Linked DNA regions of Saccharomyces cerevisiae S288C. The main gene of each other region encodes a partner of the protein of the gene in region 3 in a complex. Each region holds a gene or a part of one and is shown on either strand. Other genes may lie near its edges. A codon is read from its position in the direction of its gene.

The links.
Region 1: the proteins of COB (region 3) and CYT1 are in contact, whole or in part, in a cryo-EM structure (PDB 6T15), measured with the Saccharomyces cerevisiae proteins. Residues at the interface, in NP_009315.1 of Saccharomyces cerevisiae: Tyr28 (codon at 8,288), Phe62 (codon at 8,186), Ser63 (codon at 8,183), Glu66 (codon at 8,174), Met69, Arg70 (codon at 8,162), Asp71 (codon at 8,159), Asn74 (codon at 8,150), Tyr76 (codon at 8,144), Ile77 (codon at 8,141), Tyr80 (codon at 8,132), Asp217 (codon at 3,926), Ile219 (codon at 3,920), Ser223 (codon at 3,908), Tyr224 (codon at 3,905), Phe225 (codon at 3,902), Phe227 (codon at 3,896), Lys228 (codon at 3,893), Val231 (codon at 3,884), Phe234 (codon at 3,875), Leu235 (codon at 3,872), Met237 (codon at 3,866), Leu238 (codon at 3,863), Ala241 (codon at 3,854), Leu242 (codon at 3,851), Val244 (codon at 3,845), Phe245 (codon at 3,842), Tyr246 (codon at 3,839), Ser247 (codon at 3,836), Pro248 (codon at 3,833); in NP_014708.1 of Saccharomyces cerevisiae: Met62 (codon at 1,247), His67 (codon at 1,232), Pro81 (codon at 1,190), Arg109 (codon at 1,106), Val110 (codon at 1,103), Arg113 (codon at 1,094), Tyr154 (codon at 971), Ser178 (codon at 899), Leu179 (codon at 896), Lys182 (codon at 887), Ala183 (codon at 884), Arg184 (codon at 881), His185 (codon at 878), Cys258 (codon at 659), Ala259 (codon at 656), Pro261 (codon at 650), Glu262 (codon at 647), Glu265 (codon at 638), Arg266 (codon at 635), Lys267 (codon at 632), Leu269 (codon at 626), Gly270 (codon at 623), Leu271 (codon at 620), Thr273 (codon at 614), Val274 (codon at 611), Leu277 (codon at 602), Ser278 (codon at 599), Leu280 (codon at 593), Tyr281 (codon at 590), Ser284 (codon at 581).
Region 2: the proteins of COB (region 3) and QCR8 are in contact, whole or in part, in a crystal structure (PDB 4PD4), measured with the Saccharomyces cerevisiae proteins. Residues at the interface, in NP_009315.1 of Saccharomyces cerevisiae: Ser15 (codon at 8,327), Asp19 (codon at 8,315), Ser20 (codon at 8,312), Pro21 (codon at 8,309), Pro109 (codon at 8,045), His202 (codon at 3,971), Ile203 (codon at 3,968), His204 (codon at 3,965), Gly205 (codon at 3,962), Asn215 (codon at 3,932), Leu216 (codon at 3,929), Arg218 (codon at 3,923), Ile219 (codon at 3,920), Pro220 (codon at 3,917), Val320, Lys323, Phe324, Phe327, Ile328, Phe331, Asn332, Leu335, Gln338, Cys342, Glu345, Val346, Pro347, Tyr348, Met351, Ile354; in NP_012369.1 of Saccharomyces cerevisiae: Thr8 (codon at 764), Tyr9 (codon at 761), Met10 (codon at 758), Gly11 (codon at 755), Trp12 (codon at 752), Trp13 (codon at 749), Met16 (codon at 740), Gly17 (codon at 737), Gly18 (codon at 734), Pro19 (codon at 731), Gln21 (codon at 725), Gln55 (codon at 623), Tyr58 (codon at 614), Val59 (codon at 611), Ile61 (codon at 605), Pro62 (codon at 602), Ala63 (codon at 599), Ile65 (codon at 593), Tyr66 (codon at 590), Trp69 (codon at 581), Trp70 (codon at 578), Gly73 (codon at 569), Asn74 (codon at 566), Tyr76 (codon at 560), Asn77 (codon at 557), Leu80 (codon at 548), Tyr81 (codon at 545), Asn93 (codon at 509).

The regions. Positions count from the first base shown.
Region 1 is NC_001147.6:445,469-448,868, reverse strand, and holds CYT1 (ubiquinol--cytochrome-c reductase catalytic subunit CYT1), read right to left. Parts: upstream 1,431-3,400; coding exon 501-1,430; downstream 1-500. Other genes in the region: YNG1 (Yng1p), read left to right, coding at 2,131-2,790; 60S ribosomal protein uL3 RPL3, read right to left, coding at 3,020-3,400. UniProt on the Saccharomyces cerevisiae protein: Component of the ubiquinol-cytochrome c oxidoreductase, a multisubunit transmembrane complex that is part of the mitochondrial electron transport chain which drives oxidative phosphorylation.
Region 2 is NC_001142.9:104,233-107,218, reverse strand, and holds QCR8 (ubiquinol--cytochrome-c reductase subunit 8), read right to left. Parts: upstream 786-2,986; coding exon 501-785; downstream 1-500. Other genes in the region: protein kinase HAL5, read left to right, coding at 1-325; ERG20 (bifunctional (2E,6E)-farnesyl diphosphate synthase/dimethylallyltranstransferase), read right to left, coding at 1,147-2,205; histone methyltransferase SET2, read left to right, coding at 2,791-2,986. UniProt on the Saccharomyces cerevisiae protein: Component of the ubiquinol-cytochrome c oxidoreductase, a multisubunit transmembrane complex that is part of the mitochondrial electron transport chain which drives oxidative phosphorylation.
Region 3 is NC_001224.1:33,424-44,908, reverse strand, and holds COB (cytochrome b), read right to left. Parts: upstream 8,370-11,485; coding exon 7,955-8,369; intron 7,187-7,954; coding exon 7,173-7,186; coding exon of another isoform or gene 6,330-7,172; intron 5,769-6,329; coding exon 5,692-5,768; coding exon of another isoform or gene 4,644-5,691; intron 4,069-4,643; coding exon 3,819-4,068; coding exon of another isoform or gene 2,658-3,818; intron 2,402-2,657; coding exon 2,351-2,401; intron 1,613-2,350; coding exon 1,262-1,612; downstream 1-1,261. Other genes in the region: cytochrome b mRNA maturase bI2, read right to left, coding at 6,330-7,186, 7,955-8,369; cytochrome b mRNA maturase bI3, read right to left, coding at 4,644-5,768, 7,173-7,186, 7,955-8,369; intron-encoded RNA maturase bI4, read right to left, coding at 2,658-4,068, 5,692-5,768, 7,173-7,186, 7,955-8,369. UniProt on the Saccharomyces cerevisiae protein: Component of the ubiquinol-cytochrome c oxidoreductase, a multisubunit transmembrane complex that is part of the mitochondrial electron transport chain which drives oxidative phosphorylation.

The DNA.
Region 1 (3,400 bases), on a different chromosome or scaffold from region 3:
TAGGAATATATATGTACATATATAAATAAAAAATAAATAAAATAAATATTATAGAAGAACACCAAGACGCCGGTGTTGGGCATCCAAACAAAATATTGTAAAGTTTCTTTCTTGCAATCTTCTACCTTTATTTTTATTTTTTATTGCTGTTAGGTTGTTAACATTTAAACATCTTTTTTTTTTTTTTTTTTTTTTTTTATATTATTATTCGTGATATTTCGCTTGCAGCAGTATCTCAGTACATGAAGGAGACACTATTGAAGTGAGACGTTGTTTACAAGCAGTGAAAAAATAAATAGGGTGGCCGAAAAAAAAGAAACGAAACCAGAGAAATAAAAAGGAAAAGTAGGTAAATTTTTGTTACCTTTCACTCTCTTTCTGAAAACAATTCAGTATGCTCTACTAATATTCTTTTTTTTCATTTCTTTTATTATGTTTTTTGTTTATTGGTTTTTTTTTTTCCGTAATTTAAATAATAGTGGTTTTCATTTTTTTGTCAACTACTTTCTTGGTTTTGGTGGATTGAAAACGAATTTTCTGGTTTTGATACCGGCCCATTTGAACTTCTTCACCCAGATAGATAGCAAATACAAAGATGATAAGATTATCACCGTTTTCAAACCCAATCTCTTTCTTTCGTCATGTTCAGGTTCGGCACACCAGTTTAAAAAGGTGGTAACGTCCTTTGCCATTTGAGATGTCGTTGCGGGGGTACCATCTTCGTACTCAACCATGTCATCAAACAAGACTCTTGCCATTGCAATGGAACCACCTGGGAAGTAAGGGTTATAATTAGAACCTGGTGGTAAAGCCACACCAGCAGGAGGTTCATCAGGATAACCGGTCAACAAAGAGAAAATGTAGTCACAACCACCGTGTCTAGCTTTCACGATCAAAGATAGATCAGGTGGCAAGGCACCTTGATTGGCAGCTCTTGCAGCCTGTTCGTTTGGGTATGGGCCAGGGATGTAATCGGACAACTTACCTGGTCTCTTTTTAGGGTTACCTTGTTCATCAGGTTCGTCATCGTATTCAAATTCTTCGGCCATATTACGAACCTCTTCGTTGGTATGAGAAACACCAACCAAAGTTCTCCAAGCAACTCTGTCAAGAGAATGGCAGGCGGCACAAACTTCACGGTAAACCTGGTAACCTCTTCTAATGGATGCATGATCAAATGTTTCAAAAGGCCCATTGTGGGACCAAGCATATGCTGGGGCGTGCAATCCGTGTTCAGCTGCGGTCATAGCTTCGGCAGTTAAGGAGTCTGCATAGAGTAAAGTCGATGCGGTGATACCGGCGGCAGCAACACCCGCTGTAACGAGCTTTTGAGTAAGCTTGCCAGATTTACTAGCAGCACCTGTTGCGGTAGAGTAGAAACTTTTCGAGAGGGTCCTTTGAGCCCAACGTTTAGATAGATTTGAAAACATTGTCAAATTAGTTATAACTTCCGCTTCTGAGAAAAAATAGTAGATGATATAGTGTAATGAAAATGCAAATTGTAAAATATTATTTTTCAGAACTAGTTCAAACTAATCAATTGAAGATATCACAAATGTGGGGAAATTCAATGAATGCTTTTTATCAAACTGGGGGAGTACTGGAAAAAATATTTAAGAAAAATAGTGTTACACTAATATAGAATATGGATTCTTTTTCTTTTTCTTTCTTGTCCTTAATATTTGAAGATAAAGTACAAAAATGTATAAAATGTTGCTTAACAAAGAAAGATTGTGAAACCGATGATTAATAAGAAAACGAATGGCCTCTACTAAAAGCTTAGATAGTCTATGGATCCAGTTGGACGTCTAACCTCGTTATTATTCAAATTGTTTATATACTAGAAAGAGCCCCCTTAGTATCTACGCAGGGTAAAGGCGCTCGACCCTCTCCACCAACCAAATCCTCGCATTTTTTGGCCGCCGGAAATACCGGCCGCCCATTACCAAGAAATCCGAGAAAAAAAAAATCTTCAGTCACGTGGCGCTCCGTCTTATTTCCGTCCTTATACAAACATTTGGGATTGGCTCACAGAACATCACAACAGCATCTGTGAAAGTCTTAATAGAACTGAAATGTATGATGCGCTAGCACATCCGCTTTACAAGGAAGTTTTTTTCGTCTACAGCAATGGAACATCTCGCCAACGAAAACTCGGATTCGGATATCAGGTACAGTTTCCTTAGCACTTTGGATCATTTACCATGTGAACTAATAAGATCTCTTCGACTGATGCAAACAATCGACTTATTCAAGAATGAAGAGGATGAGCCTGGTATGGAAAGGGCCTGTAGGGATCTGTTGCTGGTAGCGACTTATATTAATGATCTGGTCGATGATCAGATTCATTTCTTAAAGCAGCATAAGAAGGAACTAGAGATACAGAAGTCAGTGACAAAAAATTTCAACTCTTCGCTAGAGAATATCAAGTCGAAGTTGACGTTAGAAGAACCAGGAGCATATAAGGAGCCAAAACTGCTTTTAAAGATTAACTTGAAAAAGGCTAAATCGAGGGAAAGAAAAGAGAGCATAACTAGCCCCACAATTGGGATTAACCAGGGTGATGTAACAGAGGGTAATAATAATCAAGAGGAGGTTTATTGTTTCTGTAGGAATGTATCTTATGGGCCAATGGTGGCTTGTGATAATCCGGCTTGTCCCTTCGAGTGGTTCCATTATGGTTGCGTAGGCCTGAAACAAGCTCCCAAGGGCAAATGGTATTGTAGCAAAGATTGTAAGGAAATAGCAAACCAGAGGTCCAAGTCAAAACGGCAAAAAAGAAGAAAGTAAGCAATATAATGGACGGGTTTACATGTTTAAATATATGTACATGTATGTAGTCTTATACTTTCAAAACATAATCGCATGCGGGTCATCAAAATAAACCTCCATTTTGGACTTGGGAAAAAGAAAATTTGATTTAAACTGTTGTATGTAGCTAACAATACATAAAACTATTTAAATAAAATAGGAATAAGAATGCTCAATTAAAAAATGATTTATTTTCTAACAAAACTTCTTACAAGTCCTTCTTCAAAGTACCCATGAAAGCATGCTTTTCAGCTGGGGTTTGGAATCTACCCTTACCGAACTTAGAAGCAGTGTCAATCCACTTCAAGCTGACTTCTTCCAAAGCCTTTCTAGAAGTGTTGGTGTACAAAGACTTTCTCAAAGTAACAATTCTCTTTCTGTTACCTGGGATACAACCTTTAACCATGATGAAGTCGTTCTTAATTTCACCGTAGTGGACGAAACCACCCATTGGGGTAATAGTCTTCTTGGTTCTGTCGAAGCTGGTAGCACCGTTAGCTTCATCATCACCCTTACCGACTCTGTAAATCTTGTGGTTAATGGAGGTTCTGGAATGGTAACCTCTTTGACCAGCTCTGGCAACACTCCA
Region 2 (2,986 bases), on a different chromosome or scaffold from region 3:
TCTGGTAGATTGTTGGAGTTGTGGTATTGTTTACTGTACAATGGTCATGGGACAGTATCTTTGGAAAATCGCCATTCCTGAAAAGGATTCTCTTTTTAAATCATTTCTCAGTGAAATTAAAGATGATGGACAGTTTTATCTATTTGAGGAATTAAGACATGTTAGTAGCGAACTGAATAGGTTGAGGAAAATTGCACTATATAGAACGTTCCAGGTCGACCCCACGAAGAGAATCACCATTGAACAATTACTACAAAGCTCCTGGATGAGGAAAACAAAATGCTGTGTAGTTTATAGACACTTACATACCAAGGTTAGTAAATAAAGATATACAAAACAAAAAATGCTTAAGTATTTATTATTACTGATACTGTAAGTAAATAAATAGACTGACTGAATAAATATATGGGGGTTATTTGCTCTTGTTTTATAAACAGAATATATATGTAAGTTTTTAGAAGATCAAAAGATCGATGTAATGTAGAGGCATGGAAACAATATTAAACATTAACTCTTTCCAGCTCTTCTCTACCAGCTTTGCTGTACAGAAATTCATTATACTCGTTACCGTTCTTCCACCAGTACCAATAAATTCCCGCAGGTATTAATACATATAGAAATTGAGACTTAAATCTTCTAAAACTATTGAATACAGCGTTATGGAAAATACCTTGTAATGGCTTTTGAGCATATGGAGACACAGCATATGAGGTTATACCTTTTTGCTTTGGACCACCCATGTGACCCCACCATCCCATGTAAGTTTTACCGCTTGGAGGACCCATTATCGTAGAAGTTTTTGTGTAGTGTTTTGTTGATTATTTGTATTTAACGTACGACAACTTACTCTTAATCGGACTTGCTCAAGTAAACAATGTTCGAGAGATGAGGTCGTTGCTTTTCCTATTATTATATGAATAAAATTTGGGGGGTGGCTCAAGTTTCCTTCTCGTACTACCCGTAATTTCCGATCACGCATTTCTTCATTTTCATTGGCTTAAAAAAAATCCTTGGACTAGTCACGTGGAACGGTAGATCGAGAGATACTATCTTAAAGCTTATACTATATTATATTGGAAGTATATAGTTCTTATACATGGTCCTTATCTAGTTTGAAATCTAATGTTTTATCGATTAGCGTTAGTTCTATTTGCTTCTCTTGTAAACTTTGTTCAAGAACGCAGTTAAGACATCAGCTTTGAAGCCACGAGACTCATCGACCTGAGAAATTTTGGCCTTCAAATCCTTGGCAATAGACTCTTCATATTCGTGGTATAGCTGTTCAATTTTCAAGTCATTGAAAATCTTTTTGCATTTGGCTTCTGCGACTGAGTCCTTCTTACCGTAATTTTCGTCTAAAGTCTTTCTTTGTTCTGCGGAAGCAAGTTCCAATGCCTTGTTGATTACCCAAGAACATTTGTTATCTTGGATATCTGTACCGATCTTACCGATCTGTTCTGGGGTACCGAAGCAGTCTAAGTAGTCATCTTGAATTTGGAAGTATTCACCCAATGGAATCAAGACATCTCTGGCTTGTTTCAAATCCTTTTCATCCGTGATACCGGCAACGTACATGGCCAATGCGACAGGCAAGTAGAAAGAATAGTAAGCAGTCTTGAAAGTAACTATGAAGGAGTGCTTCTTTAGGGAGAACTTACTCAAGTCGACTTTGTCTTCAGGTGCAGTGATTAAGTCCATCAATTGGCCCAATTCGGTTTGGAAGGTGACCTCATGGAACAATTCGGTGATATCTATGTAGTATTTTTCGTTTCTGAAGTGAGATTTCAAAAGCTTGTAGATAGCAGCCTCTAACATGAATGCGTCATTGATGGCAATTTCCCCAACTTCAGGAACCTTGTACCAACATGGTTGGCCTCTTCTGGTAATGGACTTGTCCATCATATCATCGGCGACCAAGAAGTAAGCCTGCAACAACTCAATGCACCAACCTAGAATGGCAACCTTTTCGTATTCTTCTTGCCCCAATTGTTCAACGGTCTTGTTGGAGAGAATAGCATACGTGTCCACAACGGACAAACCTCTATTTAGCTTACCGCCTGGAGTGTTGTAGTTCAATGAGTGGGCATACCAGTCACATGCTTCCTTAGGCATACCGTAAGCCAAAAGCGATGCGTTCAATTCCTCTACTAATTTAGGGAAAACGTTCAAGAATCTCTCTCTCCTAATTTCTTTTTCTGAAGCCATTTCTACGTAATATTTTTGAGTTTATTGTGCCTATGTCAGTCCAATACCTGTTGGTTGAGTTTTTAAAGTTAAAATGAAAACTGATAGAAGAACAATCTATCATAAAGTATTAGTTTCGACATGCGTTTATATATATTTCCTGCCGTTGCTTCCTCTATTTATCGGTCTTTTTCAACAAGGCGTTTCGTTTAGAACCGACGAGAAGAAGCTGACTTCGACTATTGAAAAAAGAATGCTCAATGATATTGCTTGTCACTTCATCAGTATTTAAAATATGTGTAGAGGACGGTGAATATACCGCTTAGAATACCTCACACTGTATATCGCAGTAATAAGGACAGTATCCGTACTTTTACAGATTTGTCACGTGATCAATATCACCTTTAACGTTTTTTTTTTTTTATTCACTGCAAACATGTGAAAAATTCCAAGAAACTATTAGAATTATTGGTAATTTGGTGGTTATTTATCAGAACGTAAGGTCACGTTGGCAGCTTTTCAAAGGGGCTTTCGAACGTGTGATAGAAAACTGCATAGTCGTGCTGTCAAACCTTTCTCCTTTCCTGGTTGTTGTTTTACGTGATCATGTCGAAGAACCAAAGTGTGAGTGCGTCGGAAGATGAAAAAGAAATACTGAATAACAACGCTGAGGGCCATAAACCTCAAAGGCTTTTTGATCAAGAGCCTGATCTCACAGAGGAAGCATTGACCAAATTTGAAAACTTGGATGACTGTATATATGCGAACAAGAGGATCGGAACATTTAAGAATAATGATTTCA
Region 3 (11,485 bases):
GTTTCGTAAGAAACCGGGACTTATATATTTGGAAATAAAAAATATAACAATACTTATCAAAAATTATAAACTTATTTAAATTTATTATAATATTTTATTAATAATAAAAAAAATAATAATATATATAATATATTTAGAATATTTTTATTATTACTATAATAATAATAAGAAGTTCTAATTAATTGTCTCTATGTCAGGAATTCATAATTAAAATAAATAAATATCCTTCCTAAGAATAATTATTATAATATTAATTAATTACAATTAATTTAAATTTTATAAAAGATTAATAAAATAGATATTTAAAAATATATTTATAATTAACTTTGAGTAAATTATAATTTTTTTAATAATAATTTCTTATTAATGATTAATAAATAGGGTGAGTAGGACGCCGGAGGAGTGAGGGATCCCCCATATATGTAAGTATACGTAAGTATACATAAGTATATATAAGTATACGTAAGTATATGTAAGTATACATAAGTATATGTAAGTATACGTAAGTTTATGTAAGTGGGGGAAACCCCTAGATTAAAAATTAATTATTAATAGTTATATATTTATAATAATTAATTATAAAATAATTTATATTATCAATATTAATAATCATTAATATATATAAAATAATTTTTATTTAATATTTATATTAAATGAGTACTCCTTCGGGGTTCGGTCCCCCTCCCTAACGGGAGGGGGTCCCTCACTCCTTTTTTAAAATACCTTCTTAATTAAATAAAATAAAAAGGGGGCGGGGACTTTATATTTTTATAAATTTAAATAAAGAAAATAATAAGATTCTATAATAATTATGCTTTATGATAATTAATTATTTTATAATAAATAAGATTAAATAAAAAATAATAATGATAATAATAATTAATAAATCTCCTTGCGGGGTTCCGGCTTCCGTGACCGGGCCCCGGAACTATAATATATAAAATAATAATTATATATATTAATATATATATTATAATTATATGAAAAAAAAAGATAGATAGATTATAATTCAATATAGTTATATTATATTATTCATTTATTTATATTAATTTAATAAGTATATTATTTTCATTATTAATTAATTTATATTTTATAATATTTTTTTTTTATTATTATTATTTAATTTTTATAAATTAGAGATATATTATTTTTAAGAATATTATTAAAGTATTATTATTATTAATAATTTTATTTTTATTTTTATTATATTATTAATAATAATAATATATATATTATATCTATGTATTAATTTAATTATATATTATTTATTAACTCTACCGATATAGAATAAAACATTTTCAATAGTAGAGATAACAGGTACAATAATTAAGAAATAAGCGAAGTAGATAAATGTAGCGATTTGTCCCATTAAGACATAAGGTACTTCTACATGGCATGCTCCAATTTGTCCTAATAATACGAAATTGAATACAAAGATAAAGAAGAAGAATTTAGATAATACTTTAAAAGTATTACCTCTTACTACACTTCTATCAGTAAATGGTAAAACTAATAATACTAAAATAGCTGCAAACATTAGAATAACTCCTAATAATTTATCAGGAATAGATCTTAAAATAGCATAGAATGGTAATAAGTATCATTCAGGTACACAATTTATATATGTTAACATAAGATTATTTAATATCTTATCTCAATAATTTTCATTATTGTTCAGACTATGTCATTAATTTATAATAAAAGATTAAAACTTTTGATATTTTATAATATATATATATATATTTTTTATTTTATATATAATATATATTACTCCTTCCGGGGTTCCGGCTCCCGTGGCCGGGGCCCGGAACTATATAAAAAAAATTAATAATCTATTCTTTATTTAAAAATAATTTATAAATTAATTGGTTTTCGTGGAAAGGTATTACTATCTCAGTTCACTTTCTAGTCGTTGAACGTTTTTATATCTTATATTATATTAATATTATTATTATTATTATATATATATATTAATATATAATATAGAGATGATATAAACTTCGCTGCAAGTTGTCATAGTATTATTTATTTATTAATACCTTAGATTTTCTTGACAATTAACCAATTTTAATCATTAAACTCCTTATGGGAGTTCCCACAAAGCGGAAACTTAAGAATATTTAATGCTACTGTACTTTTTATTATTATTTATTATTAATTAATTAATTTATTTATTATAATTTTTCATATATTTAATATAATATATTAAATATAAATTATAAAGGAATATATATAAATAACCCCGAAAGGAGAAATAAATAATATATTTTTATTAATAATTATTATTTATTTTTTTTATATAAAATAAATAAGATTAAATAATAATAATTTTATTAATATTTTTAATATCAATAGATGCTGGTGTTACTAAAGGATTACCAGGAATATAGTTATCAGGATGCTTTTATAATAAATATAAAATGGACTATATCTTCATAAAAATTTATATTACACTATCTTATTTCATAAACTATTATTATTTCTTCAATCATGTTTAATGATCAGAATTTTATTTAATAAGATTGTAAAAATATAATCTACCGATTCATAATAATTTATATTATCTTTAACAATAATTTACAAAGATGTTATATTATTATAAGGAATCTTTAAATATTTTATAAATTAGATAATATAATAATGAATACGGAGAAAATTTAATTATTATTTCATTTTTCATTAAATTTTAATCAAGCTTTATATAAAGCAGTATTATGAGGTGCTTTAAAAGCTAATAAATCATATAAATAATAAAATTTATCAATTAAAAATAAACGTTTACCTTTATTAGATTTAGAAGGACAACTTTTATTATAAAGATAAAAAATATTATGTAATTCTTTATTATTAATAGATCATTTAAAATAACCATTTTTAGCTTTATCAAAATAAATATTACCACCAAATACTTCTCTATAGTATTCAACATCATGTAAATATTTATTTGTAACGCTAATAGTTAATTGAGGTCTAATTTTTAATTTACCGGAATAATAATAATTAATAGTACCATCAGCATCAAAGAACCCTATAAATCAAGCATTATCTTTAGTTAATTTAATAGGTTCTTTAAAATCGATATTTAATAAAATACATACTTTATTAAATTGTACTAATCTTTTACTATTACGAATATTACCATTAACGGCATTAATTAATTTAATTATACCTTCTTTATTTTGTAATCTATATCTAATAGCCTTAACACCTGATCTTAATTTTACAGAACCACCAAATTTATCTTGGATTTGTCTTAACATTTTTTCATCTTTTAATTCTACAAGAATTTCACAAGATGCATATTTATTTTTAGTAATACAAAAATAACCATCTCCGTCAATTAAACCGGCCAATCATTGGTTAAATCTAATATTACTATCTTTATAAATACTATAATGTCTTTTAAGAATAATTTGATTTATTTTTTTTATATTAAAAATATTTAATAAATAATTAAATTTATTTTTTAGTGTGCGTGTAGTCTCTGAAGTATCTACTAATAAATTCTTTTTATTACTCGTTAAGTGAGTATTAGAAGAATTTATATTGGTTACCTGCTGATTATCTTCTTTATAATAATATTTTACTCTATTGGGATTAAATAAATCACTTACAATATTTATTTTATTATATTGCTTTGTTCAATTAAATTTTAATACGAAATTATTTAATTGTTTTGTATTTAAAATATTTTGAATAATAAAATAATATAGAGTTTTATTATAAATTTTTCATTGATATTTAATAAATAAAGATTTCCAGCATACAGCACATAAAATATTAATTACATATGTAATTAATAATAAGGCCATATTTTGACCTAAAGTATTAGGTGAATAGAATACAAATAATGCTAAAATTAACATAAATAAGAAAACAGTTACTAAATCTTTAAAAATAAAGTATGAATGCATTGGAATTCTATCTAAATTACCTGTAATACCTAATGGATTAGATGAACCATGAATATGTAATGCCATTAAATGCATAATAACCATTGCAGCAATGATAAAAGGTACTAAATAATGTAACGCAAAGAATCTCTGGATTAGAGGGTTAGATACTGAGCTTTTAATGTTTAAATAGTTACATATTTGAAAACTATTATCAATATATCACTATATTGTTCGGACTATATCTTAATCCTATTTATGTATATATATAATTATATATAAATATTTATAAATGATTATATATTAATCATAATATTTATTTATAAAAAAAAAAGATAAATATTACTTCTAAAGTTTTTATTTCTTATTTATTAATCATAAATTATAATTAATAAAATTATACTTTTTAATTTATAGTTTCGATATCCTAAAATAGAAATAAAAATACCATAAAATGATAAGATTTTAATTATTAATAAAAATTAATAATGAAGGAGAAAATAAATATAATAAAATAATAAATAGTTCAAAGGAATTATTTATTGATAATAATATATTTAATATATAATTAAACTCCTTCGGGGTTCGGTCCCCCTCCCGTTAGAATAGGGAGGGGTCCCTCACTCCTCCGGGGTCCGCCCCGCGGGGCGGGCCGGACTATATTTATAATAAATAATTATATATAAATTATATTTTGTTTATATAATTATATAATATATAAATATATTATTATTATATTTTTATATAAGATTAATATTTAGGAGGAATTTTAAAATAATTATTATATTTAAGAATAAGACGTAAATCTTTTAAGAATAATAAATATTGTAATTTTTTATAACCTAATAATTTAATAGGGTTATTATTAATAAATATTACAACATTTTTAATACCATTAATACTTTTAAGTGTTATTCTTGAATTATTAAATTTATCTGTATAAATATTTTGAGTAATTTTTAAATATGATTTAATAGCTAATATAACTTCTATACTATTATTTTGAGATACTTCAAAACTAGCAAGTTTTATTTTTTTATTTATAGGTTTATAAATACTAAAACAACTTTCAGCTTCAAAAAAACCAATTAATCATGAAGAAAAATAATTTTTATTTAAAATATCTTCAAGAGTATTAAATGGTTTAATAGGACGTAAATAATAAGATAAATCATTATAATATTTAATATCTTTTAATAAATTATCTTTAAAATATAAATAATCATAATGTTTATTAGTTAATATAGGATATTTATCAAAAATAGGAATAATAATATTCTTTAAATGATTTTTATTTCTTACATTAAATTTACATATTTCTTTAATAGTACCATCTTTTATTTTTAATTTTTTAATTGTTACTTTACCAATACCTAAAATATTTTTAATTTTATATAATAATTGAATATCTCTAATATGTATTTCAATACCTAATTCATATAATAAATATTTACCTTTTTTTGAAATAGTAATTCAACCATCTCCTTCAAATAAACCACCAATATATGCATAAATAGGATTATCTGTGTTTAATTTATGATTTTTATCATAAATAATAGTATTATTTATATAATAACTATAAAGTCTCTGAATAATTAATTTTATATATATATATATATTAATTACTGCTAATTTTCTTCTTATAATAAATATTTTAACTATATTATTTTTATTTCAAATTATATTATTATAAATAATTAATTGAATAATATAGTAATTTATTATTCAAATGAAGATATTTCAGCATAAAACAGATTTATTTAATATTATATTACTATAATATGGATCCTCTATATTAAACCCACCTCATAATCAAGATACAATATCGTTACCTACAAATGGAATTGCTGAGAATAAATTAGTAATAACTAGTGCCAAGAAAATAATATTATTTATAAATTATTATTATTTTTTAATAATAATAATCTCAATATTTATTGATTTATTAATATAAATAATACCCTGTATTTAATAATATCTACCCTTTTTATAATTCCATTTAATCACTATTTTCTCTTATGAATAAATATTTATACCTAATAATACCATAATATAAATATTATATATAAATGTTATATATAAATGTTATATATAAATGTTATGATGGGGTTATTATTATAAAAATATTAATCATAATAATTATAATTCATTATTTATATATTAATTAGGTAAATGGAATAATAACAGTAGTTATATATATAATATATATATATAGATTATTAAACCTTGTGTTATAATAATAATATTATAAATTTTCTTCGAATAAACATTAAATATTATTATTTTTTTTATAATAATACCTATTATTGGTGTATTCTGTTGGGATCATATAATTATATAACCCACTGTCTTGTTACTTAATAATATAATTTTGACATGTTTTCAATAATATCGCATTATAATAATATAATAATTAATATAATACTATATATTTTATTATAAATAATTACCTAATTTATATTTTATACTAGGAATAATATAAGGAGATACAATTTTAGTTAAAATAGGTATAGATTCTTTTCATACATAAATAACAAATTGTGTATTTTCTTTATTGCCTTTAAGAATAGTAGATTTAATATTATATTTATTATGTAATAAATAAAGTAAATATTGAACATCTTTATAACTAAAACAATTAGTTGTGAATTTTAAACCTTTACCTAATTTACATCCATCATCTATAATTCAAATAGCTAAAGCTAAAGGAGTTAAATAATTGTCTAAAGATTTAGGAATAACTTTAATATTACCTTTTCCAGATATATTTTTAATATACCATTCTGAATAAATCATATTAAATGAATCATAAGTTCATGTATTAAATTTTAAATATTGTCTAATTTTACCTTTTTTACCTAATCTAGTTTTAATTAAAGGTAAATTAGTATTACAATAACCTAAATTAGCTAATAAACTATGTAAATAATATAAATAATTAATATTACAATATTCTTGTTGAAATACAATTCTTGTTCCTTTACCACCTTTTCTTTTTTCAGCATGACCATCTCCTAATATTGAACCATAAATAATTGATAAAATGTTTATATTTAATGGACCAATATTATTATTTATATCTTTCTTATTTGTTATATTTAAATTAATTATATATTTATTTTTATTAATATAATCTATACTCTTAATTAATATAAGATATTCTTTAGTTTTTATTATTTGTCTTATTATAATCGTATAAAAAATATAAATTAATAATATTAACATTATTATATAAATTAGTTTTATTATATTAAATATATTTGAGGCGATATTTATATTACCTCAATGTGACAATTGTGATAGGTAGATCTTTACAAATTTTCCCCCACTCAGAACTGTACGTACTACTTTCATAGTATACAGCTCAAACAATTTATATACTATATAAATCATCCTATATTGAAGTTAGCATGCTTTCACATTAATCATTTATTCGTTATTATTATTAATTAATTAATTAATTAATTAATAATAATATTAACCATTATTAATATATTTTTATTAAAATATATAAATAATTTGATCTATATTATACATTACATATAATCTTTAGCTTTTTCAATAGTCTTTTACCCACTTATCTATATTATAATTTCTATTATTATTTATTTAATAATATTATATATAACTACCATATAATATTTATATTAATATTATATGGAAATAATTGGGCTTACCAAGTTTATATTATTATACTTTCAATAATTCACTTAGGATTCTAATTTTATACCGATGAGTATTAACGTATATATATGTATTCTAGACAGAATTGAATATCTTACTTCTCATATAATTATTTTTATTTATTATTATTTATTAATTAATAATAGAAAAAAATATTGTTTATGTTACGATATTTTATAATATTAGATTGACTTACGCTATCCATATGAATCTTACCTTAATAATTAATAATAATTATTATTATTAGAGTTTCATACAAAATTATTACTAATAATGCATGTCTAATTAGGTATATGTTATATATAAACATAATCATTTCATTAAAATAATTTATTTAATGGTATGATATTATAATAATATACTTATACTTGTCTCACTCTGTCCATAAACACAACAATAACCTAAAAAAGCTGTAGCAATAGTTAAAATGAAAATAATAACACCTACATTTCATAATAGTACTCTTGGTGATCTATATGAACCATAATATAAACCTTTAGCCATATGCATAAACATTACCATAAAAAAGAATGATGCACCATTTGCATGTAAATATCTTAAAATATAACCATTATGCACATCTCTTATAATATGTTCAACAGATGAAAAAGCTAATTCAATATTAGATGAATAATGCATAGCCATAAAAATACCTGTTACAATTTGAATAACTAAACATAAACCTAATAATGAACCCATATTTCATCAATAATTAATTGATGATGGTTGTGGTGAATCAATAATATAACTATTCACTAAACTTAAATACACATTTGATTTTCTAAATGCCATATTATTATTATTTATTTATAAAATATTAATAATATTATTTATTACTAATATTTTATATATATTAATTAATAAAAAATATATAAATATATATTATTAATTAATACTTATTATATATATATATATTTATAATTATATATATAATTATATTATAATATTAAAAACTATTTTTTTATTATATATACATATTTTATTATATATAAATTATAATTATTAAAAAAAAAAGATATTTCTCATTTTTTTTTCATTAATATAATCCATTAAAAAAAAAAGTTAATAGATTTTATTAATATTATTATTATTATTTATTAAATATAAACCTCGCGGGCGCCAATCCGGTCAACTACTGGGTTGGTCATTGGTCCCGTGGATAATATTAATTATATTATATCATTATTAATTTTTTTAATAAAAAGTTAATAATATAATATAATATTTAAAAATATTTATTTAATAATAAATAAATAAATAAATAAATAAATAAATAAATAAATAAATAATATTGACGATTATATTAATATTAATGATATCATTATTATTTAATAATAATTAATATTATGAAAGATTTTTATATTAATATTATATAAATATAATATTAATAATTTTTATATTATTTATTAATATTGTTATTATTATTATTATATTAACAATAATTTATTGTTAATATGTTATTTATATTATTATTAATTTATATTCTCCTTTCGGGGTTCCGGCTCCCGTGACCGGGCCCCGGAACTATAAAAAAAAATAAAATAAATTATATTATTATATATTATATTAAAAAAAAAAATTAAATATATAATAATTATAGAATTAATTAATAACAATTATTATTATTATTATTATACATAAATATTATTTATATAATTTATTATAATATTTATTTAAAAATATTATAATGAAAAATATATTATATATTTTATTATAGTATAATAACAATCGGTATTTATTATTATGAATATATTATTTGTATTAAAAAAAAATATATATATATATATAATTGTATTATATAAAATGTATATTATTAATAATTATTAATTAATATAAAGAATATGTTTAATTATATATACTTTTTTTACAAATATTTATTATTATGAATAACCTTAATCGGAATCGAACCGATATTATCAACATGAAGAGGTGATGTCGTAACCATTAGACGATAAGGTCTATATTTATTAATAATATATATATATATAATTATTATTATTATTAATAAATTATAAAAATAAAATTATTATTATTATTATTAAGTTTATTATTACTATTTATTAACCTAATTAAAATTAAATTAAATAAAATAAAATAAAATAAAATAAAATAAAATAAAATAAAATAAAATAAAATAAAATAAAACTTCTTCTTTAAATAAAAAAGGGGTTCGGTTCCCACGGGGTCCCGCACTCCTTCTTAAATAGGGGTTCGGTCCCCCAAAGGGATCTATCACTCCTTCCTAAAAATAATTAAATATTTTTAATATATATATATATATACATATATATATTAATTTTATTAATTCATTTAAAATTTATATTTATTAATATAATTTATATATTTATCTTATTCCTCCTTTCGGGGTTCCGGCTCCCGTGGCCGGGCCCCGGAACTATTAATATATAAATTGAATTATAATTATTTTATATTATTTTTATATATTACTTATATAATATTTCTTATAATTATATTAAGATTATATATATAAATAGGTTATTATATATTATTATATATATATACTTATTAATTAAATATATTTATATTTTATATTAATGAAGTAAATATTTTATTTAATATATATATATATATATAAATTTATTTATTATAAATTATATTCTTTTTATATTTATATTTATTATTAATTAATTAATTAATTAATTAATTAATTAATTAATTAATTAAATTATTATAATTGTTATTATAAATTATAATTATTATTATTATTTTATTTTTAATAAAATTATTATAATATTAAAAAAGGGAGATAAATAATATTTATATAATCTCCTTTTGGGATTCCGGTCTTTGGCCTGGTATCCAAAACTTATATATTATATTAATCCCCAAATAAGATATTAATATATATAAACAATTCCTTCTTTAAATATTAAATATTAAATAAAAAAGGGGGTTCGATCCCACGGACTATTTATTCTTGTTAATTATATTTTTAATATTATATTAATAAGTTATATTTTATTATATATTATATTATTATTTCTCCTTTCGGGGTTCCGGCTCCCGTGGCCGGGCCCCGGAACTATTATAATTATATATATATTATTAATTTTTATTTATACTCCTTCGGGGTTCGGTCCCCCTCCCATTAGTATAGGGAGGGGTCCCTCACTCCTTCGGGGTCCCCGCCGGGGCGGGGACTTATATTTATATATTTATATTTATATTTATATATTATATTTGTATTTATATTATATTTATATATTTATATATTTATATTTGTATTTATATTTATATTTATATTTATATTTATATAATAGGTGGGGGTCCCTATAATTATTGAAAATAATTATTATTTATAGGACCCCAGATATCTATCATTTATAAATTATTATAATATTTATTAAATTTATGATATATTTTATATTTAATATGTTTTTATATTTATTCATATTATTTATATTATTTACCCTATTTTTATATTATTATTAATATTTATAATAACAATTATTATATTATTAATAAATACTATATAAGTATTAAAATAAATATCTCCTGCGGGGTTCGGTTCCCCCCCGTAAGGGGGGGGGGTCCCTCACTCCTTTCTATAAAAAGTAAATTTAATATATTTTTTATATATATAATATATTAATCATATAAATTATAAATTATATATATATATTTATATATATATATATATATATTATAATAATCATAATATTTTTATTTTATATTTTATATTTTATATATGTATTACGAGAGGGATAATTATTTTATTATATTTATATACAATAGGATTAAACATTGCCAGTGAACAACGGGTAATGTTTGATCCGTATCATATTATATTATATTATATTATATTATATTATATAATTAATAGTTCCGGGGCCCGGCACGGGAACCGGAACCCCGAAAGGAGGAGAAGATAATATTATTACTATTTT